Linked DNA regions of Diceros bicornis minor. The protein of the gene in region 1 interacts with the protein of each later gene in a biochemical or structural test. Links are inferred from orthologs where the notes say so. Each region holds a gene or a part of one and is shown in the gene's direction. Other genes may lie near its edges.

Region 1 (7,013 bases):
GTGCGGCTGGGCGTGCCCGGGGATAGCAGGAACCGGGGTGAGAGGATGGAGGCGGCAGAGTAGACTGGATAAGAGCCCCTCCCCGCCCCCCCCCACGCTGGGCACCGCCCCTCCACGCAGCGCACAAAGAGCCAGGGAGACGCAGAAAGGAGCCGCTGCAGCAGTCGACCACCTCCCGCCCCCCGCCACGTGACTGCGGCGCACGCGCACGCCGAGCAGCCAACAAAGAGGCGCCGAGCGTGGGCGGGGCCGAGGCGCGAATTCCGCGCGCCAGGGGCGGGGCTCGGCTCGGGCTCGCGCGCCCCCGGCCGGCCCTCAGGGCCGCATTGTCCCGGCGCGCCAAGGGGCGCCCGGGCCCCGCCCTTCTGCTACAACGTAGCAGCCGCACTTCCTCCCGCCCCTCCCCCGCTACACTGTAACCGCGCGCAAAAGAAAAAAAAAATCCCCCCTTGGCCTCGAATTTTATTCCTTCGCTTTTCCCCCCTTGCTTTAAATGAGGATCACCTTCCTTTCTCCCATCCTTTAGTCGTAAGGGACCCTTTAAAGAAAACGACCCCCTCCTTTTCTCCCGCCCTCTTTCTCATCTGTTCACTCCCTAAAAGGGTCTCTTTTAAGGGGAAATCAAAGAAAGTAAAATTAATCAAGCACATGTTAGCCTTCCATCCACGAAAAACTACCGGACCGCCCCTCGGGGATCGCGGGCGCGCGGAGAGCCCCGATCTTTTGTGAATGGTAACGCGTAGTGCAACCCAGTGGCCCACCGCGTCCCCCACCTTGGGATCCCAGCTCTCTGCAGCTGCCCGCCCAGCCTCGTCCCTTCCTCCTCCGGCTTAGCCACATAAAGCCCCGCCAAGGGAGATGCACCCGGGGAAAACCTCGCCTCGCTTTGTCTCGGACTGTTTCCGCATGTCCCTCCCTCCCCAGTCTTCAGACCGTTAGGAGATCCTCTTTAAGTAAAAGCTTGCAGAACCTCGGTCTTCCCGCCCCCTAAATCTGAAGGGTGCTTTTAATGGCTTCCCCAAAATGAGCCTGCCAAAAAAAAATCATTCCCCATTTTCTTAAGAGCAAATTCTAGCAACAAATGGGTATTATATATATAAAACTTTTTTTGGCAAAGCTTGGCTAAAGATGAAGAGTGCAAATGTCCTACAACCACTCTTTATCATTTGTCCGGGTTTTTTCCTTCGGAAAAAGAAATATAGTTAAAAGAGGTTTAAAATCCTTACCTTGGCACCGATCTGGTTGCCACATTGACCGGCCTGGATGTGCACGATTTCCCTCATGTTTAAAATTTATTTTAATTCTTTTCCTCGCCTCAAGGTGTGTACGGGGCAAGAAAACGATATGTGGGGTTTTTTTTCTCTGCTGCTGGCCGCAGGCTGGAAGGATGGGACGTGCCCCGGAGGCTGGAGCAGCGAGGTCCGAACGCGGCGGCAGGAAGGTTCTGAGAGGGAGAAAGGAGAGGGGAGGGCGCAGGAGGGAAGGCTGGCAGGGCGGGGCGCGCTTGCGCCGGGGTGGGAAGGCGGGAGAACGCGCTCCGCGCCGCGGTGGGGAGACAAAGCTTCATCGAGGCTGGCCCTGATTAGTCGATGCTGGTCATGTATCAGACGTCCATTGGTCTCTGCGCGAGTGGACGAACGCAGTCAGCTCTGGGAGTTGTAGTCCTCTATTGTTGTCCACGCTGCAAAATGAAGGGACGAATGGGTGGGTACCGGGTTTTTGGTTTTGGACTTTTTTTGTATTTTATGAAAAAATGACCTTGCGTACGATTTCTTTCCTCTATGCCTGAGTTTTTTGTACAAAAAGAGCGTCGTTTTCGGGGATACAGGATTTGGGACCCCTGGAGTGCCAGGCGTTGGAAGGAGTGGGCACGCCCTGAAAGCTCCCCGCGGCGGTAGCTCTTGGGAAGACAGGACTGCTTAGCTCAGCGAAAACTGGGGAGAAATGCGGCACCCTGCTCTGCTATCTAACAGCTGGTCCTTTGGTGACCCAAGGCATGAACTCCAGTAAGCCGCCGCTCCCCCAGATACTCAGGAAGAAGGAGGGGATTGCCCTCCTATTTCTTTGGGAGTTTTCTAATGATAATATTTTGAAAGAGAAACAAAATTGCAACAGGGGCTTTTCAGGATAGAGATGTAATTGTCCGGAGGTTACGTTCAGAGAATAAGTTGAATAGTTTAGAGAAGCTGATATCTGGGATCTGTGAAGCCAGAAGTTTCCTTCCGTGTAGGGGATCTGGGCCTTAGAGCAGCGTTGAAGACACTGTGGTCTTGTCAAACAGAACTATGGGGTGGGATGCCTGATAGAATTTCAGTGTCTTTCCAGCCTTTTTCAGTTCGCTGATTTCACTGACCAGCTGGCTGGCCACTGCAACCTTTCAAGAACCCCAGGATTGAACAAAAGGGGGATAGGGAGGGAGATGGATGGGAGAAAATTGGACGGGCTCAAGTCAGAGCCGCATGTTTCTTCTCAGGCATTAATTCATTTGATAGATACTAAGTGTCCACCAAACCAGGAGCTAGGGATACAAAAACGATTAAAAATTCTCTCCCTGGCCTACCAGGATCTTGCAGTTTCGTGAGAAGTGTATAAACAATGGAGTGTGGTAATACCATAATACAGGACATGTGATATCAAGGTCATCACTGATAATTCACATTGGATTCAACACACATTTCTCAGTCACCTAAATAAAAGAATATCAAGTTGTGTAAGACCCCTCTACCCACTCAAAATAAAATGTTTTATGTTTTAGGGCATGGTCACAATGAAAGTAGTTATTTTGTGGCAGTGGAGAGAGTTCAGAATTTAGAATGAGCGGACGTTTCAATTTCTCTACCTTACATTAGCTGTAGGAACCTAAGCAAGTCATTCACCTTCGCAGAGCTTCAATTCCCTCTGTAAAATCTACTTCTGCCTATTTGATTGCTGTGGTCAGGCTGAAGTGAGATAAAATGCAAAAGGACTTCCTAAATCATACACATGTCAAATTGTTACTATCCTCTTCTGTCTTAGTATGAGATGATGAAATAAATGGTTTTATCATTCTTCTTTAACCCCTTGAAAGACCTCGGTCAGCCTTTAAGATGGTTAGCAAAATAGTTCTTTCTGTTCGCCTAGGGATCTTTGCTTTAGGAAAATGACCTCAAAATGTCTATCAGGGATGTATTCTCAAGGAGGAAATGACATGACTTCTACTAAACAAGCCAAATCAAAAAGAAATGAACTTCCATTGCAATGAGGAGTCCTCAAGCGCCACGCCTACGGGCAGTTCTCCAAACTGCAGCCTCCGGCCACGACTGCAACCCGCAACCCGTTTTCACTTCTCATGAGTCAGCGGACACCATGTCTGGGAGGACTGAGGAAGGGCGCTCTGGCCGCACTAGACGCATCGGGCGACGACTATGGTAAGTCCCTCTATCCGCGCCGGCAACCAGACTCTGTGGTCGCGGTTTGGAAATCTGCGCGGGAAGTGGGCGGTGGGTGGTGAGGCGGTAGTGGGTTGTCCCTCGCAACTGCCCAATCGGAGTGCGCGATTCTGAGCGCGGAGGGCGGCCTCTGCTTACCGCCTCGCACAACGGATCTCAAGCCCCTGAGAGAAGCCGCCCCTTTGAGCGGTGAGGGGGCTGGGCGGGGATGGGGGCGGGGCTATGGATGTGCGTCCGCGTTGGATATTTGATCAATCGGCCTGCCGCAGGACTGTGAAAGACAGCGGCGGGAGCCAATCAGAGAATCGGCTCCCTCCGGGCGCGAGCAGTCGCGCCACCGGCCCGCGGCCGTTACTGGTGGCGCGCGCGGGGACTCAAAGTAGGTGAGTTCTGGGGGGCCTTGCCCACAGCTCCCCGGGTGCCATCTTGGTTCTCCTGGAGGGCGGGAGGGGCGTGCCTTGGGTGCGACTGGGCGGAGGAGATTTGGAAGTTTGCTTCTCGGATTATAATATTCATCTTTACTTGACGCCCCTCCCCGAGTTTAGGTATGAAGACACAGGGAGACGTTAGGCCAGGAGGGAACCCACTGGGATGGGGATCAAAGATGGTGGCCCATTGGATTGGAGCCAAGGGTCATGGGCACCCGCTGAGTTCGCCAGTCTTAATGACGGAGTTGGTACTATCTCCAAGGAGGCGTCCCACTTTCCCTTCCTGTCAACAGTTTCCCTCTAGGGTGGCATCTTGCTAAGTGAGTTCCGTCCCTGCTATTTTGAGTTTTCATCTTTCATTTGTTCTTTCATCAGGAGGGCAGGGTGAATTTTATGTTTCGTTCATGAATATATCCTGAATACTTCGAACGGTACCAGGTGCACAATGACTACTCTTGAAGGAATATGATGGACCCCAGGGGAAAAGACACTTCTGCTGGTCCAGTTCTCGAAGGGATGTGTGAAGGCAGAAAGGGAAAGTAACGGTTACAATATGGTGAGAAGTGTTAGGATAGTTTCAAGTCCTTTCACCATTGTGGAACACGTACGATACACCAGGAACACCAGAAAGCAGGCAAGACTCCAGGAAGGGCTTTGCTAAGGAAGTGACATTTGAACTGAATTGTAAAAGATGGGTAGGAGTTAGACCAGAAAACTAGGAGCAAAGGGCCAAGGAGCTGGATAAGGCATGCAGATGTGGGGGACAACAGGAACAGTGTGTTCAGAGAGTAGGGAGAAGATTCATGTGGTTGAACCATAGGCTTGAGGGGAGGCATACATTGCAGGACATGAAGTTCAGATCATAGAGGGTCTTGCTAAGGAGTTTAGATTTTATGTTATCCTGTGGGCATGGAAAGCCATCAAAGAATATTAAACAGGGGCTGGCCCGGTAGCATAGTGGTTAAGGTGCTCTACTTCGGTGGCCCTGGGTTTGTGGGTTCGGATCCCGGGTGCGGACATACGCACTGCTCATCAAGCCATGCTGTGGCAGGCGTCCCACAAATAAAATAGAGGAAGATTGGCACAGATGTTAGCTCAGGGACCATCTTCCTCAAGCATGAAGAGAAAGATTGGCAACAGATGTTAGCTCAGGGCCAATCTTCCTCACCAAAAAAATATGTGTATGTATTAAACAGGGGAGGGACATGTGGGTGATCTTGGGCATTTTCCTTAACCCATCTATGTTGCAGTTTCTTTATCTGAGAAATAGAAGTTAATAATAACACTTTGTAGGGTTCTTGTGATGATTAAATGAGTCAGTCCATGCAAAGTAACTAGAACAGTGCTTGACACGTAGCAAGCATCTATATATGTCAGCTATTATGATTCTTTGCAGTTAGTCTGATCACACTGAGATGGTCTGGTAAAGGGTAAAAAGCATGGGCTTTGCAGCCAGAAGCACCTTTATTCCTGTCCTTTCCACTTACCTGCTGTTATCTGCAGCAAATTACTTAATATTTTAGCCTTAGATTCCTAAATGCCTGCCTCATATCATTACCATGCCTGACACGTAACACCATGCCTGACAGATAGTTGATGCTTGGCAAAAGTTAGCTCCCTTTAAAATGGTGTATTTCAAACTATGGGTTGCAACCCAATAGTGGATAGTGAAATCAATTTAGTGGGTTGCAAATCAGCATTTGAAAAATAGAGAATAGGGCTGGCCCCGTGGCGTAGCAGGTAAGTGTGCTGGCTCTGCTTCTGGCGGCCCAGGTTCGGATCTCAGGCACACACCAACGCACCGCTTGTCAGGCCATGCTGTGGCGGCGTCCCATATAAAGTGGAGGAAGATAGGCACAGATGTTAGCCCAGGGCCAGTCTTCCTCAGCAAAAACAGGAGGATTGGCATGGATGTTAGCTCAGGGCTGATCTTCCTCACACACAAAAAACAAAAAATTAAAAAAATTAAAAATAGAGAACAGAAAAAAATAGAATGAAGCTATCAGTGTGTTGTATATAGTAAGGCTAGGCAGTTTTTCTCAAAACATTTGTCTGTATAAATAAGCACGTGTGTTTGTATATATTTGGGACCTTATGATATTTATTTCTTATTCTGTATCGTGGTCAAAAATATTTTTTAAATGCTTCAGAAAGATAACCACGGAATGATCGGCGGAAAGAGAAGCATGAACCTCCATAACTATCCAGGTTTACCCCGGTTATCAGTCTTCTCTCTGAGGCTGTGTGTGTGAACCAATAATAGAGATGATGATGTGTTTCCTTCCCAGATTATGGAGGACACTCAGGCTATTGACTGGGAGGCTGAAGAAGAGGAGGAGACAGAGAGACCCAGTGAATCCTTGGGGTGTAACTTGGCGCCCGTAGGGCGACTGCATATCTTCAGTAGTGCCTATGGACCAGAAAAAGGTCAGAGGGTATTGGATGCTGAAGTACTGGTATAGGCCTCTTATTTTTGTAAGGAAGTAGTAGGAGGTTTGCAGGAGGCTTATATATGTTTCAAGGAGATGTGAAAAAATTCTTTTACTGGCAATGGAGAACAGGGGGCTGATTGAGTTAATTGCTCCAGGCAAGTGCCCTGGACTCACCGGAGGTGATTTTACTTTGCTAGAAAATTAAGAGATTCAAATAAAAATCCAGTGTGGTCTGGAAATGGATGGTAGTGATGGTTGCACAACAATGTGAATATACTTAATGCCACTGAACTGTACACTTAGAAATGGTTAGGGCCAGCCCCGTGGCGTAGCGGTTAAGTGCGCAGGCTCAGCTGCTGGCTGCCCGGGTTTGGATCCCGGGCGCGCACCATTGCACCGCTTGTCAGGCCATGCTGTGGCGGCGTCCCATGTAAAGTGGAGGAAGATAGGCACAGATGTTAGCCCAGGGCCAGTCTTCCTCAGCAAAAACAGGAGGATTGGCATGGATGTTAGCTCAGGGCTGATCTTCCTCACAAAAAAAAAAAAAAAAAAGAAATGGTTAAAATGGTAAACCTTATGTATATTTTATCACAATAGAAAAAAATCCCGTGTGGAGGATGAGGTATTGACTATGAATAATATGTTACATATATTCTTCAATATCTAGATGTCCTGGGGCCTTTTATTTGTCTAATGCATGTGGGGACCTTGTGTGAGTAGTGGGG
Region 2 (7,013 bases), on another chromosome or scaffold:
AATTGCTTTCAGCTCAAAATAATCCTTATGCCAAAGTGACATATTCTGATCCCTTTTGCTGGAATGTAGAGTATAAGAGGGAGATAGATGACAGAAGGCTAAACAAGGAGGCAGGGACTAGACCTTAGAGGGTCTTGTAAGGCAAGTTAAAGGGTTTGGACTATATCCTAAGAACGGTGGGAAATCCTGAGTTGAGGGGGCATATTTAGGCAGAGGAGTCCTCACATGATCGGACTTGCTTTTGGAGGTAGGTAAGACTAGAGGCAAGAAGAGACATGAAGGTATATTTAGGAGGTAAACTTAGTAGGGCTTTGTGACTAGATGTTAAAGAAAGAGAGTGGTTTCTGGTTGGGCAATGGAGAAGATGACAATGCCTTAAACTTGGACAGGAAATATTTCAAGTATGAGGAATGAGGAGCTCCATTCTGAACAAAGCACCTGTGAGACACGCAGATAGAGACATCCAGTTCACAGCTAGGCACTTGGGTCTGGAGTTCTAAGAAGCAGTCTGGCTGCAGAAACAGATTTTGGAACAATTTGTGGATGAAAAACTGAGGCCACAAGAATGGAAGGGTGTTCCTGGGAAGAATGTGTAGGATCAGAAGAAGACCTACAACAGATCCCTGAAGCGTTCTAACATTAGAGGGGCTGCAAAGGAAACTGATAAAGAACAGAGCAGTAGGAGGAAAACCAGGAGACCGTGTGATCAGAGAAGCCAAAGGAAGGGGATGATTTGACCAAGACGGAGAACCAAAAAAAAAAAAGAGGAGAAAAAAAGTCTCAAGGTCAAGTAACAAAAGAAGAATAAAAGGCAGCATGCAACAGGGACAAAAGAAGGATACAGACAAGGAGGACTGAAGGAATTCAGAAGAGTAAGCTTCTCCTGGGCTATGTTTCAGTGGGACCTGCATCTGGGCACTGATACCATGTCTAGCTTCTTGAGTAGTTCCCTAATGCTGGCCTCCAAATCTGACTGAACATGAAACAGAACAAGAGGCAGGCTAAGGAGAAGAGATAATTTACCATGTTTGGAATAATGCTTACTCTAACCTAACTCCACTCGCCAGCTAAACATATGTGGATAATGAATGACAGCAGGGTACCCAAGTGGTTGTTGGATGGTGAGTTGAGCTTAAGTATGTCAATCAGGAACAGAGAAGGAAGTAAAAATGCTCTAAAAGATCCCATTAAAGCACAACTTCAAACAATGTGGCCTTGCTGCGGAGGAGCAGAAAATCACAACAGATGTATCAGCCCAGCGAACAACAGTCAGAAAAGAGATGCCTTTTTTCAGCAGGTAAAAAAAAAAGGCTTTAGGCAAATTCCAAGCTTACAAGTCAGATGTCAAGCACCACAGACTCTTTAAATGCTGACTCCAGATACACATTTCCATACAAAAAATATCATCTCTGTGTATCCCGTGTTGTAAATTCCTACATTTAAGTTTACAAGAATCCATTGTGCAAATATAAGACTTGGGTCGGCAGACCACAAGCTTAGCATGAGCAAACAGTGTCATGTGACTGCTAAAAAATGCAAGTAAAACTTTAGTGTACTTAATAGAAGTGCTCAGATAATAAAAGCAGTAGTCCTACTGCATTCTGAATTAATTAGAATAAATCTGGAGTGTTGTGTTCAATTAAAAGCATCAAATTTTAAGAGTAATATCTCTTACCCATCGCTTTCTTCCCATTCCCACTACCAAATTCTCTCATCTCATACCCGGTAGTTTCCCAGCAGTCACTCCTTCCCATCAGCACATGCCTTGTGCAGCATCACTTTGCTAGCCTCCCATCTAGAGGTGGAGTCTATTTCTCCTCCCACTGAATCCAAGCTGGCATTGTATCTGACTTGAACCAACAAGAAGTGATGGAGTTTGACTTATAGGCCTAGGCCTTAAGGGACCTCACAGCTTTTGTGTTGGCCTGCTTGGTTGCCAGCCACCAAGTCAAGAAGCTGGGGCTAGACTACCGATTGATGAGAGGCCAAGGCTGAGAGAGAGGTCACGTGGAGGAGAACCGAGGGGCTCAGCCAATAGGTAGCACCAAGGCCCAAAACATCTGAGTGAAGCCGTCTTGGATCTTCCATCCCCAGTAAAGCCAATGATGGTAATATTCTGTATCTGTGCTATCCATTATGGAAGTCATTAGCTACATATGTCTACTGAGTCTTTGGAATGGACAGGGCTCCTGAAGAACTTCACTTTTTTTTTTTTTTGGTGAGGAAGATTGGCCCTGAGCTAACATCTGTTGCCAATCTTCCTCTTTTTGCTTGAGGAAGATTGTCCCTGAGCTAACATCTGTGCCCATCTTCCTCTATTTTGTATGTGGGACACTGCCACAGTGTGGCTTGATGAGCAGTGTGTAGGTCCATGCCAGGGATCCAAACCCATGAACCCCAGGCCGCCAAAGCAGAGTGCGCAAACTTAACCACTACACCACCAGGCCGACCCCCAGAACTTCATTTTTAATTTCACTTGATTTTAACTAAACTTTAAACAGTCAGTGGCTACCATATCAGTCATTGTAGAAGACTATTCCCACTCCAATTCATCCAGCATAATTCTGCTAAAAGAACAGGGCAGCAGAGAATCACCTTAGCACCTACGCTTTATGGGGCTACAAGTGCATAAGCAGTAACTAGAGATGACTGGTGGTGAAGAATATAGTAGCTCTGTCAACTAGCATTAAAAAAAAAAAAAAAAAAAAGACCTCCCTCCACATCATCCAAAGGAAGGGAGTGACCCATTCCAAACTGATTTTATCTGCATAAAATGTGAGAATGAGAAAGGGAAATTGCCACACAATGGAATATACACCCAACGTCTAGCCTAGAGATGTCCTGATCAGAAAATTAACCTTCAAAACTGTTTTCCCCATCTACAGAAAAACAAAATTTTAATAGCTCCCTGGTTCACATATTTTTGGGGGAGAGGGAGCAGGAAAGAAATTTGAAAGAGCCTACTATGTGTGTTAGACACAACCACAAGGGTTAATGCATTTAATTCTCTTCATCACTTTTTTCATACTAGGGAAATAGAAGTTCAGAGAGGTTGTGACTTGCCTAAGGATCTAAAACTAGTTAGTGCAAGAGAGAAAATTCAAAATCAAGCCTCTGAATTTCTCAATACACCACAAAGCCTCTCCTATAAAAATTTCTGCCTGCCTTCCGAGATTTTCCATGATCTGGTCATCTAACTAATTATTTCCAGTTAACACCTTAACTCTTATCAGACTGATCTCATTTCTGCTTTCCTTCACTTACCCTCTCCTTTCTTTTCTAATTCTACCCATCCTTCAAAGCCCAGTTTGTGTCCCTTTTTCTTTCCTCATCTTAATCCCAACTAATTTTCTTCCCCTCTGAATTTTTACATCACTTATAGTGGGCACCACATAATATAGCACTCTTAGTTACATTGCTTTTCCCTTAAATCGACCGTAATCTCTTTAAGGACAAATACCAAATAAATTTTTGGAGGGTGGCAATCCTTCCAAATTTCCTATATCCCTTTGAGGCATGAATAGGTACTTCTGGAATGGATGAATGACCTAAGCTCAACAGACAAATACTTCTTGATTAATTAAAGTCAGCCCCAAACTCTCATGTTTTACCCTTTGCTTAATCTACCGCGCACCAATTAATCAAGAAAAGCTGAGCAGAAATCAAGACGGCAGCACAGCCACGTAACGCTCCCCACCCGCTCCGGCACGCCACGCCCAGCCTGCTGGTAGCCGATTGGGCGTGGCCCAGCCTAGGGTGGCCTATTGGGCGTGGCGTGCGTGAGTGAAGGCGGGCCGAGAAAAGAAACCTACGCTCTGGACAGGACTCGGTAGTCTCCGGTAATCCTCGACAATTTCCGGCAACGGTCTCCTCCTCCGTCGACCCACCTCGGGTGTTTCCGGCCTCCTTCGGGCTTTTCCGTCTGGCGCCCGCGCGGATCTCTCCCCTTCGGGTATTTCCGTGTCCCGCTCGGAGGTACTCGGCAGTCTCTCGGCCTCCCCCATTCCCCGGTAACGGTCGCTGGTGAGTTTAAATGAGCCGGGGCTGGCCGGGCCGAGCCGCTACGGGGGGGGCCTGAGGCACTGCAGAAAGTGGGCCTGAGCCTCAAGGATGACGGTGCTGCAGGAACCCGTCCAGGTAATGAGAACCCCGTTCTCTGAGGCTTGGCTCGCAGCCTCGGTCGGGAAGCAGCGTATGGCCACTCCGCGGCCTGGTGCGGCCTAGGCCCGGCTGCCTCTCCCGCCTCCCCCCATGCCGGGTCCTGCCTATCCTCTCGTCAGTCCGGAGGCCTTGCCCGTAGCCTACGCCGTGTTACCTCTGGTCCTACGTCCCTTCTACCCCTCGTGTGAGCGGGGTTCGGCGATAATAGCTTCTTTCCCCTCCGAGCCAACGTCCACCTGGGCCCTCCTGTCAGTCTAGGGGCCCGGCCCCGGCCGGGGTGAGGGATGAGGGGCCGAAAACTCGCCCCAGGTGCTCTCGTGCCTAAAGGATGGTGGGGAAGCACATTTGATCAGAGCTTGTACGGGCTTCATAACGGTGGGGCAAGTTGGCGGGGTGGAGGGGGTTGGTTTTGTTTTTGTTTTATGTGAGAGGGCGGAGGGAGGGTAGATCGGTATTTTTAATACTAATTTCTATTTTGGTAACAGACTTGCAAGCCCACGTTGCTTTTCTCGCTCAGTGAATTTCCCACTGGACAATGATCTGAGAAGAGAACTCCAAGGCCCAGTGCTGAGGTGCAAGCACCTATCCAAGGGGAGGGGGTGGAAACGGCAAATCTGGGTTTTTCCATGACCTGTGGTGGGGATCAGGAGTGTTTTATTGTGCATGTTTGTAAGGCGTTCAGGAAATGAAAGACAAATAGTGGTTTTACCATCCACTTCACTGTCCTCACCACACCAGGAAGTGTGTGAGGCAGTGCCAAGTCATTTTTCCCCTTGTCGTCTGAAGAAACTGAATCTTTTGTCCCTTGGTGATGAACCAAGTCTGGGAGACTGTCAACCCACCCTAGGATCTTGAACTTGATTAGAAGAGTTGAGCTCTGTCAACTGCTGTCATTGACTCATGGATTTTCTCTATTTTGAAGTTATAAAGCAAACTGATTTTAGAAATTATTTCATATACCCTTAATAGGCCTGTGATATCAAATAGTAAATATTTTAGTACATCACTTCTTCCATATTTCCTTAATTTTTCTTCACAGGATGAAATACCAGTTTCTGCTAGTTGGCTGCTTCCCCGGCTTTTTACATGTAGCAGCTATTAGTGTTTGATTTAATGTAATGTGGGATTCTATTTTAGGAAATTTACCTGTTTGTAAGTTGTACCAGTGCTTCCAAAGCTATTTCTTTCCATCCAAATTCCTCTTACTAGTAAAGAGTCTCTGAAGATTTTTTTTTTTTGAGGCTTAACATGAAATTAGAAGTTGCTGTCTGTACCTTCTTACATAGATAAGCAGATCACTCAAGTTGTTTAATTTCTGTTTCATATTCTTGTAATTCTGTCTTAATAATTAATGATACGTTTGCCTTCTTTGGCCCCAAAAGACTTCTAAAATGATAAACTAGTTTCATTGCTAGCTTATAACCACTATTTAATAATAATTTCAACTTGTATAGGAGCTTGGAGAAGAAAAGAAATACATAGCCTATTCCTAGATAGTGCCTGCCAGGTTTCCTCTTTTCCTTAAAGTACTCTTAGCAGTAATGCACTTAGGCATTTTTAAGGCTCAAATGTCAAATTTATCTTTTTTTTTCACACTACCTTTATCCATTAGATTTGGGAACAGTGGTAAGAAGTTTTAAGATACGAGGTAGTATAAGAAGAAATAAGAGATCTGGAGCAGAGGGAAGAACAAGCAATTTTGGCTAGGATGATAAAGATCAACTGACCAGAGATAGTGCTGAAAATGGGAAAGAATTAGTGAGGAAGAAAATAAAAATAGGGGACTAGCCCTGTGGCGTAGTGGTTATGTTCAGGCGCTCTGCTTTGGTGGCCTGAGGTTCGCAGGTTCGGATCCCTGCTGCAGACCTATGCACCGCTCATCAAGCCATACTGTGGCGGCGTCGCATATATGAAATAGAGGAAGATGGGCACAGATGTTAGCTGATGGCCAATTTCCCTGACCAAACAAAAAGAAAAGAAAACTAGGACAGATAAAGATACTGTATATGTTTTTCTTTTTAACTATAATAAGTGATTGCATGTATTTGTAAAGGGATGAGAGTAAGTTGGAAAGTTGTTTTCTTTCTTGGGATGCCTCATGGTTCATGGTATTACTAGGCATAGGAAAAAGTTGAGAGAAAAAATGAGCAACTGATCTCTGCCTTTTTATTTTCTTTAACGTTTTAGTGTGGAATAGCCAGTCTGAGATAAGGTAAGAATAAGCTCCTCCTCCAAATTATCTCTCATAGAAAAGTGTTAGTTAATATTTGAGTCATTTCAAAAATCTCTCCTATTATGAGGCAGAAATTCTGTCGATTATTTTATTTTTAATATAACTGTTTGGAGAGGACACACTACCCTAAATGACTTCAATCAGTGCTAATTTGGAGGTTTATAAAATTCACCTGATGAAACTGATTAAAAAACCAGTGATATTTTGATAGATTTATCAATTATTCCTGGGGTAGGACTTCACAGTTAGAAGTGTTGGATGAAGTTGTAAACAAGCCTTATAAAAATCACCATAATGAGCAGTGTGGTAAGTGGTTACTATTCACATAATATCATTTTATTTATTTATTTATTTATTTATTTATTTATTTATTTATTAATAATCATATATTTTTTTAAAGATTTATTTATTTATTTTTTTCCCCCCAAAGCCCCAGTAGATAGTTCTATGTCACAGCTGCACATCCTTCTAGTTGCTGCATGTGGGACGCGGCCTCAGCATGGCCGGAGAAGCAGTGCGTCGGTGTGTGCCCGGGATCCGAACCCCGGGCCACCAGTAGCGGAGCGCGCACACTTAACTGCTAAGCCACGGAGCCGGCCCATAATATCATTTTAGAGGT
Region 3 (7,480 bases), on another chromosome or scaffold:
AATTCCACTGGGGAAACTATGTGAGCCAGGGTAGAATATCCCTCCAAGGGGCTTGCAAACAAGAGTCTTTGTACACCAACTCCTGTCAGTCACTGAGGGTTTTTTCCATGGGTCATAAGTCCTCTTGCCCTTTGGTCTACTGTGTAGGTGGCAAAGCAGACTCCTGGTGTCAGAAAATGCCTTCATGCAAAGAAACACAGGTGCTGGCAGTTGGAAGTTTCCTAACGTGTTTAAGAGTGGGAAGGTAGAGGGGATATGTGTGGGAAACTAAGGGTCTGCTACACGGTCTCTACCAGAATCCACCTTATGGTCCAGTGACATATGGACTAAAAACACAGGCTGCTGCCCACCCCTACTCCTGCCCAACTGCACACCTGATATACAATGGCGGCACAAGGACAGAATAACTACAATAAAACCCTTTCAGAAAGGAGAGGAGGGGAGACCCATAGCCATTGCTCGTCAGTACAAACCCTGAAGTCCTACTGGGCAGGCATCGGGTGGCTCCTCTGCCTGATTAGATTCAGATTCTGTTCTCTGAAAGTAGCTCCATTGCTCATTGCTCTCCGAGGTCCCTGGCACCTCTCTCTAGGAGGTTCTTCCTTTTCCATTATCCTCTGTCTCCATGTCTAGACAGGGTATGGAGGAGTCTGTTCTCCTTGGGGGCTGTATGACATTTCACCCACTTCTGACTATGCAAGCTTGAAGATTGTATCAAAGTTTGAACACTCCAGACTTCTGGTTTCTTTCATAGAGCAATTGTCTCAAAACTCCAGTAACCTTCAGATCTATTCGCTTCCAGTCAGTTTCATGTGGTAGTCGTCAACCTCTCACATATAAGACAAGGTCAAGGGCAAGGCCTGACTGATTAGACTGGTGAAGATACATGAGACACTTTTAGATTTAGATCGCTTGTTACTTCTATAGATAGCAAAAAGGAAGAAGAAGCCAAAGGTGCCAGCTCCCAGGGTCCTTGTCCCAGATACCAAAAAAGATGACACTGAAACAAAACAGGCTGTTGTGGGAAGCCCCATTGCTGAGGAGCCAAAACTAGACAGCAGCTAAGTGGTTTCATATTCTGCAGCTCTATTCTGAGGGGAGTGGTGCAGAAAGCCCGATACCTCATCAGAATCTGGGAGGCGATGAGAAACTGATGACAGCCTCCGAGGGGAGGCAGGAAGATGAGTGGGAGGTGGCCTCATAGCTAGCATCTCCTTAAAGGACCCCACTCTCTTGTGTTCCAATAGGATCACAAGGTGTTTGACTGAGGCTCAGACATGCTGCAATTCCAACCTCTGCCTACACGGATATGTGCAAGGCTGCCAGGAAGCCATGGCAGAGCTGTTCCCCTACGGTAGTAGCCACACACACAGTTCTCTCCTAGACTAATTTTCAAGACTAATTTGCTATCCTTGGCCCCATCCCTCTCTCTCTCTCAATTGATGGTGCCTACCCAGCTTGGGTGGGAGGGCCATATTCTTAACTAGATCTTTTCTACATGGATGGGTTGTAATAGACATTTGTTGCTCAAAATCTCTCTCAGACTGATCTGTTGTTTTTAGGGTCTAGATGCAGCCAGCTTTTCTAACCTTGCAAAATGCCATATTTTTGGATTTTTAAATTCCCTTTTATCTTTCGCTTGCAAACAAGCTCATTCTTCCCTGAGCTAGGCTTTCTTATAATACTGAATTAAACGCAGCCAGTAGCAACCAATATGTGCCACTTACATTCTATTTTGCCTCCTCTTCCCTGCACCTCAGAAGACTCAGTATGCCTATGTTCTATCTTCCAGGTTACTGAAGATGACAGTTTAAACAAATGTTTTGCACTGCAAAGACTATTTCTGCAGCAATAAAGATCATTTACTAATTTCATTTTTAAACTATACATCCCTTTATACATATTTATTCATTTACAGCTCTGGAAACTTAAATATAAAATCCTCAAAAATCTATTTTTAGTTTAGTTTTTAATTTTGATAAGTCTTCTCTATGTAGCAAAATATAACAGAAATAAATACTTATATTACCACCACCCATATTTTAAAAGTAACTATTTTGTGATATTTGTTTCCTGTGTTTTTTCATTCTACAAACAGATAAAGTTCCTTTTAATCCTACTCCAAGCAGGGTCTGGAGTGTTTGGTTCCAGGTGGCAGAAGTGCCAAATATTCAGGGAGGTGATCCTAAATGCCAGAGAGGTGAGGGGAAAGTTAATCCCTGAACCCCATTTTCTGAGCAGCTTCTTGACAGCACATCACAGTTATTCCTCATTTTTACCAAAATCTTCATGGACCACAACCCACGTAACCACTCTCACCCTTTCCTAAAGGACTGCGGGTCAAGTAAACCTTAATGTGCAGGAGAATCAGTTAGAGGGCTTGTTAAAACACAGGGCAGTGGCGCCACCCTCAGAGTTTCCGACTCAGTAGATCTGGGATGGGGCCCAAGAACTTTCATTTCTAACAAGTTCTCAGGTGATGCTGATGCAGCTGGTCCAGGCACTACACTGGATGGAGAACCACTGTTCTAGCTAATGCCCAAGATTAGGTACTTCGGGGACAGACACAGACTCTCTCTGCCTATGTGGAGACACAGATGGGAGAACCTGTCACCTGGTCTCCCATTCTAAAGATGAGGTCGACTCCTCTGCTATTCAAATCCAGCTGCTAAAAGCTATACGGTTGTGGGGCCGGCCCCGTGGCGTAGTGGTTAAGTGCGCACGCTCCACTGCTGGCGGCCCGGGTTCGGATCCCGGGTGTGCACCGATGCACCGCTTGTAAGGCCATGCTGTGGCGACGTCCCATATAAAGTAGAGGAAGATGGGCACGGATGTTAGCCCAGGGCCAGTCTTCCTCAGCAAAAAGAGGAGGATTGGCATGGATGTTAGATCAGGGCTGATCTTCCTCAACAACAACAAAAAAAGCTAAAGGTTGATTTCATCATCCTCCTCCTCTTCATTAGCAGCATCTCTGACTCTCCTACTCTCAAGAGACCTCTCCTCAGCCCCAGAAATGTCAGGAATGGGCTCCTGCCCCAGTGCTGACCGAGCAGAGATGGGCAGGAGCAGGTAACAAGGAGCAGTGTGGTGTCAGGAAGGGCACGGGGTTCCAGTCACGCCGCCTCTTGTCACTTCCCGGCTATGTGGCCCTGGGCAAGTCACACAGTCCCTGAGCCTACTTTCCCCATCTGCATAGCACGGGACAGTGATGCCCACATACTAGAGAGTGCTGAGTAAACGGGAATAGTGCAAGCAGGAGTCCTTTGTCAACTGTAAAGCACCCTACAAATAGTAGTTACTATTACAGCTTCACGATAAATTCGCTCCTTTACAATTAACTGTGGCATCGTCTTGTTTTTTTTACAACTTTATTTCTAAGCCTTTCCTCACCTTCTCCCCAACAACAGGCCTTTCGAGTTCCAGAGTTACTGATCTGACTCACCTTCCACGGGTGTACTCACACACTTAGACCCAAGCTGCTCATTGCCATCTGTAGGAACTAGAAAGAAAAATAAAAACAATCGAGGTACATCGCCTTAAGCTCTCACATCACTCAATCCAGAGTCATGCGCTTCTCAATCTCAAGAGTCAAAAATAAAATGAGAAGAAACACTAACTAAGCAGTTTGTCATCGGTCATCAACAAGCAAAAACTGCAGTCCCCTTTTACCTCCTCTCCCCCGATCTCTGCTATTTGAACATTAGGTTCCATCCCAGAATCTCCCCAACACTCAGGGGGAGCTACAGGGAAAGAAAATGAGAAGCTCATTGAAAGAGGCGGCATCTTGGTAAGGACCCCTTTGCACTAGGTGTGTAATTCAAGTCACCCTGACTTCTTTCTTCCCTTCAGGCCTCTTGGCTGTGGCAGCTGGTGATTATACTCCTGCTATATTGGAGGAGAAAGAACCCAGTCCGTGGAGTCAAAAAGAGGTGGATGCCATCTTAATTCTACCACTTACTGTGTGACCTGGGACACATCATTTGACTTCTCTAAGCCTCCGCTTTTACATCGGTAAAACGCTGTTTGCCTCATAGAGTTGCTCTGGATGATAACACATGGTCTCGCGCACTGCCTGGCATTCGGCAGGTGTAATAACTGAGGAAACCCTCTTCTCCCCCGGCTTTCTTTTTCCCTGCGTTGGGACCTCCTCTAAGGTACTCCTGGCCCGCGGCCCCGCCCCCTGAGCCGTGGGGCCTGGACCAATGCCCAGCGGAGCCCGGCCCGCCCTTCAACGCCCTGAGCCCCAGAGAACGCGGCCCAAGCCCCGGAGCAGCCCTCCGCCGGCTGGCACGGCACTCGCCGCCCTCACCACCTTTGCCATCCCCGGCCTCCTCCCGCAGCGGCGGTGGCGTCACTTCCGTCGGAAGAGGCGGGCACGTCCGCGCGTTGGCGCGAAAGTCGGTTCCCGGCCTCGGCTATTTCCGGGTTCTGCGCTTGCCTCGGGCCGCGGTCGCCGCCGGGGGCGGGGGTGCGCCGGGGGCGCGCCCGACCCCAGACGCCGTCCGGCGGGCCGCACTCCCGCCACCCGCCGCCCGAAGACCCCCAGGCTGCGGCGAGGTCAGTGCGGCCCGGAGCGGGACCCAGCTCCCTGCCACCACAATTGGGGGGCGCGACCCCTCCTCTGGCCCTCGGGGCACTGGTAACCGGCCCTCCGACCGGCGGGTGGGACTCGGGCGCCGGAGGGTTGTGGCTGCGGCTGGACCGAGAGCCAGGCCTCTCCCTGGGAGCTGGGGAGCCGGAGCGGCGGGCCTTTTAGGGGGCATGACCTTGCTAAGTGGCTTCCATGTTTATATTAATGTCCGTTTACCGAGGGTGGACAGGCTTCGAGGGCCGGGGAGACCCACAGGGACAGATTCGTTGTGTGTATCCTTAAGCCAAGTGCAATTGAATGTCCTTTGGCTTGGGGGCTTAGAGCCCCATAGCAAAGGCCCTCAGTGTATTCAATTTAGAGACATTAATTTCGTTCTCTGATTTGCAAAGATTGGTGTTTTCATCTTTTTCCTTGACTTTGCCCACGTTCCTGCGTTTCTTACAAACGTGGTGGACGAGTTCCTGTGCAAGGCCAGAATGTCTATCCTTAGGCATTCTTGTTTGCACAGAAGAATAGGTGCTTTAAACATGTCACTTCATATCTAATGTGTTGTCGTTCTTGTTAATGGCTCCTTTATTTTGACAGTTCAAAAATGTCCAGAAATGACAAAGAACCGTTTTTCGTGAAGTTTTTAAAGTCTTCAGACAATTCTGAATATTTTTTTAAAGCTCTTGAGGTAAGAATAGTTGGGAATGTCTTGTTTGATGCTGTGAATTCATCTTTTTTTTAGTGTTTTTTATTTATTGGGCTTTTTATTCTTAGTTTATTTTTATAATAGTTTTACTGTAGTCTACATTATTATAGCTACGTCATTGTTAACATATTTTTGAATTGATGTTAGTATATCATTATTATGTATTTTGGGGGACTTGAAATCTATTATGACATTTCTGTTGAAAGTGGCACGCCTGCTGTTCTTAAAAATTAAGTTGCTTTCTTTTGTCTACTACCCAGAGTAGACCTTCGTGTGTTGAAAAAATTTAAGTCAGTCATGTACTGGTTACACTTCATTTTCTGGTTGTTAAAAGTATGTTTCATTTTTTACAGTGTAATATGGAAGGCTGTAGGGTAGTGTAGAGCCTTGCTACTCACAGGCCTCAGCAGCATCCGCATGGCCTGAGAGTTTGTTAGAAATGCAGAATCTGGGGCCCCACCTCAGACTTAGCAATTTGAATCTGCATTTTGACAAGATCCTCAGTGTGATCCTCGGTGTACATTAAAGTTTAGGAAGTACTGTTGTAGCAGGTATTTCTTTAAAGTTCATTCATTCAGCAAGTAATTATTGAATGTCCGTGATCTGATAAGCGCTGTTCTAGTGCTTGGGATACATCAGTGATCAGAGCAGGCAAAGATCCATACTTTCTCAGAGCTTATGTTCTGTTCTAGCAAGAGGAAATAGACATTAATCAGACACGATAAATGAGTAGACTATATAGTATGTTACAAGGTGCTAAGTACTATGGGAAGAGAAAAGAGCAGAACAGGTTAAGGGGTTCTGGAGGATGTTTGTGGGGGCAGAAGGAAAAGGGAGAGAGTAATTTTAAATAGAGTGTGATCTGGATAGCGTTTATGGAGAAGATGATATTTGAGTACACTTGAAGGAGGTGAGATAGTTAGCCATGTGGATATCTAGGGAAGAAGGTTTCAGGCAGAGGGAACAACCATACACAAGCCCCTGGGAAAGTGCTTGGAGAGTCTGTCTGACGTAGTGTGGCTGTAGTGTAGTGAGCAACGGATGGGAGGAGAATATTAAGGGATGCTTCAAAGTATAAGAGTAAAGAGGCCATGTAGTCCATTGTAAGGACTTGGGCTTTTTCTTTCAGTGAGATGGAGAGCCACTGGAGGGTTTTAATCAGAGGGGTTACATGATCTGACTTAATTGTTTTAAAAAGATCATTCTAATTATTTAACATAAGGACTTCAAAATTTGTTCAGAAAACAGGTGCTTACTGAGTGCCAGGATGTGGTGGCAAACCCGCTAGACCATGAAACTGTCACTCTTATAAGTGAGAAAGGCAAACACTATTTACATAATATCAATGTTATTTTTCTTCATAAAATAGACTAGAGGGATAGGGAAAGGGTATTTCAGAAGGCATAATCAGGAAAGGCATCTCTGAGGAGGTGACATTTGAGCAGATCTGATTGAAATGAGGGACTAAGTCAGGGGAAGACCTGGGAGAGGAGTATTCCAGGCAGCAGGAGCAAGAGCAAAGCCTCTACCTGAGGTCATGCTTAGCTTGTTCCAGGCCTAGAAGAGAAGCAGGAGTGGCTAGAGAAGACTAAGCAAGAGGGATGAGCGAGTGACAGACGGTCAGGGTGGGGAGATAGGCAGGGCCCAGACTCTGTGGTCTGTAGGCCGTTGTCGGAATGTGGATTTCATTGAGTGTGGTGGGAAGCTATTGGAAGTTTTTGAGCAGAGAGTGACGTGACCTGATTACTAGCTGCTGTGTGGAAAACAGATTTAGGGCCAGGGAGAGAGAGGGAACCACTTCGGAGACGTCTGCAGAGGTCTAGGTGAGAGATGATGATAGCTTTCATAGGGAAAAGGCTGGATTTGAGATGGCGTTTGATGATAGAATTCGTAGAACTTAAATACAGGTGAATAATTTCAGGTGCATTCTTATTTCATTTTTCTTTCAGTCAATAAAAGAGTTCCAATCAGAAGAATATCTTCAGATTATTACAGAAGAAGAAGCATTGAAGATAAAGGAGAATGATCGATCACTTTATATCTGTGACCCTTTTAGTGGCATTGTCTTTGATCACCTCAAAAAGGTTTGCTAACTTTTAGTGTTTTCCTTCGGCAATCTGTTTTTTGGTTTGTTTTTGCTTCAGTGGATGTAAGTTCTTTACTGATCATGAAATATTACACATATTATGCATCCA

Evidence for each region.
Region 2: the proteins of MDC1 (region 1) and CDC27 form a complex in vitro, tested with the Homo sapiens proteins (2 studies listed by BioGRID). The link is inferred for Diceros bicornis minor from reciprocal best matches to the Homo sapiens genes MDC1 and CDC27.
Region 3: the proteins of MDC1 (region 1) and TOPBP1 are reported together in a solved structure, tested with the Homo sapiens proteins (3 studies listed by BioGRID, with this or other methods). The link is inferred for Diceros bicornis minor from reciprocal best matches to the Homo sapiens genes MDC1 and TOPBP1.

Annotation. Positions count from the first base shown.
Region 1 is NC_080753.1:34,401,521-34,408,533, forward strand, and holds the start of MDC1 (mediator of DNA damage checkpoint protein 1), read left to right. Parts: upstream 1-3,993; 5' UTR 3,994-4,409; coding exon 4,410-4,412; intron 4,413-6,144; coding exon 6,145-6,283; intron 6,284-7,013. Other genes in the region: TUBB (tubulin beta chain), read right to left, coding at 1,227-1,283. UniProt on the Homo sapiens protein: Histone reader protein required for checkpoint-mediated cell cycle arrest in response to DNA damage within both the S phase and G2/M phases of the cell cycle.
Region 2 is NC_080757.1:44,865,216-44,872,228, reverse strand, and holds the start of CDC27 (cell division cycle protein 27 homolog), read left to right. Parts: upstream 1-4,000; 5' UTR 4,001-4,110; coding exon 4,111-4,137; exon of another isoform or gene 4,138-4,449; intron 4,450-7,013. UniProt on the Homo sapiens protein: Component of the anaphase promoting complex/cyclosome (APC/C), a cell cycle-regulated E3 ubiquitin ligase that controls progression through mitosis and the G1 phase of the cell cycle.
Region 3 is NC_080741.1:18,706,727-18,714,206, forward strand, and holds the start of TOPBP1 (DNA topoisomerase 2-binding protein 1), read left to right. Parts: upstream 1-4,467; 5' UTR 4,468-4,557; intron 4,558-5,176; 5' UTR 5,177-5,183; coding exon 5,184-5,267; intron 5,268-7,234; coding exon 7,235-7,369; intron 7,370-7,480. UniProt on the Homo sapiens protein: Scaffold protein that acts as a key protein-protein adapter in DNA replication and DNA repair. Composed of multiple BRCT domains, which specifically recognize and bind phosphorylated proteins, bringing proteins together into functional combinations.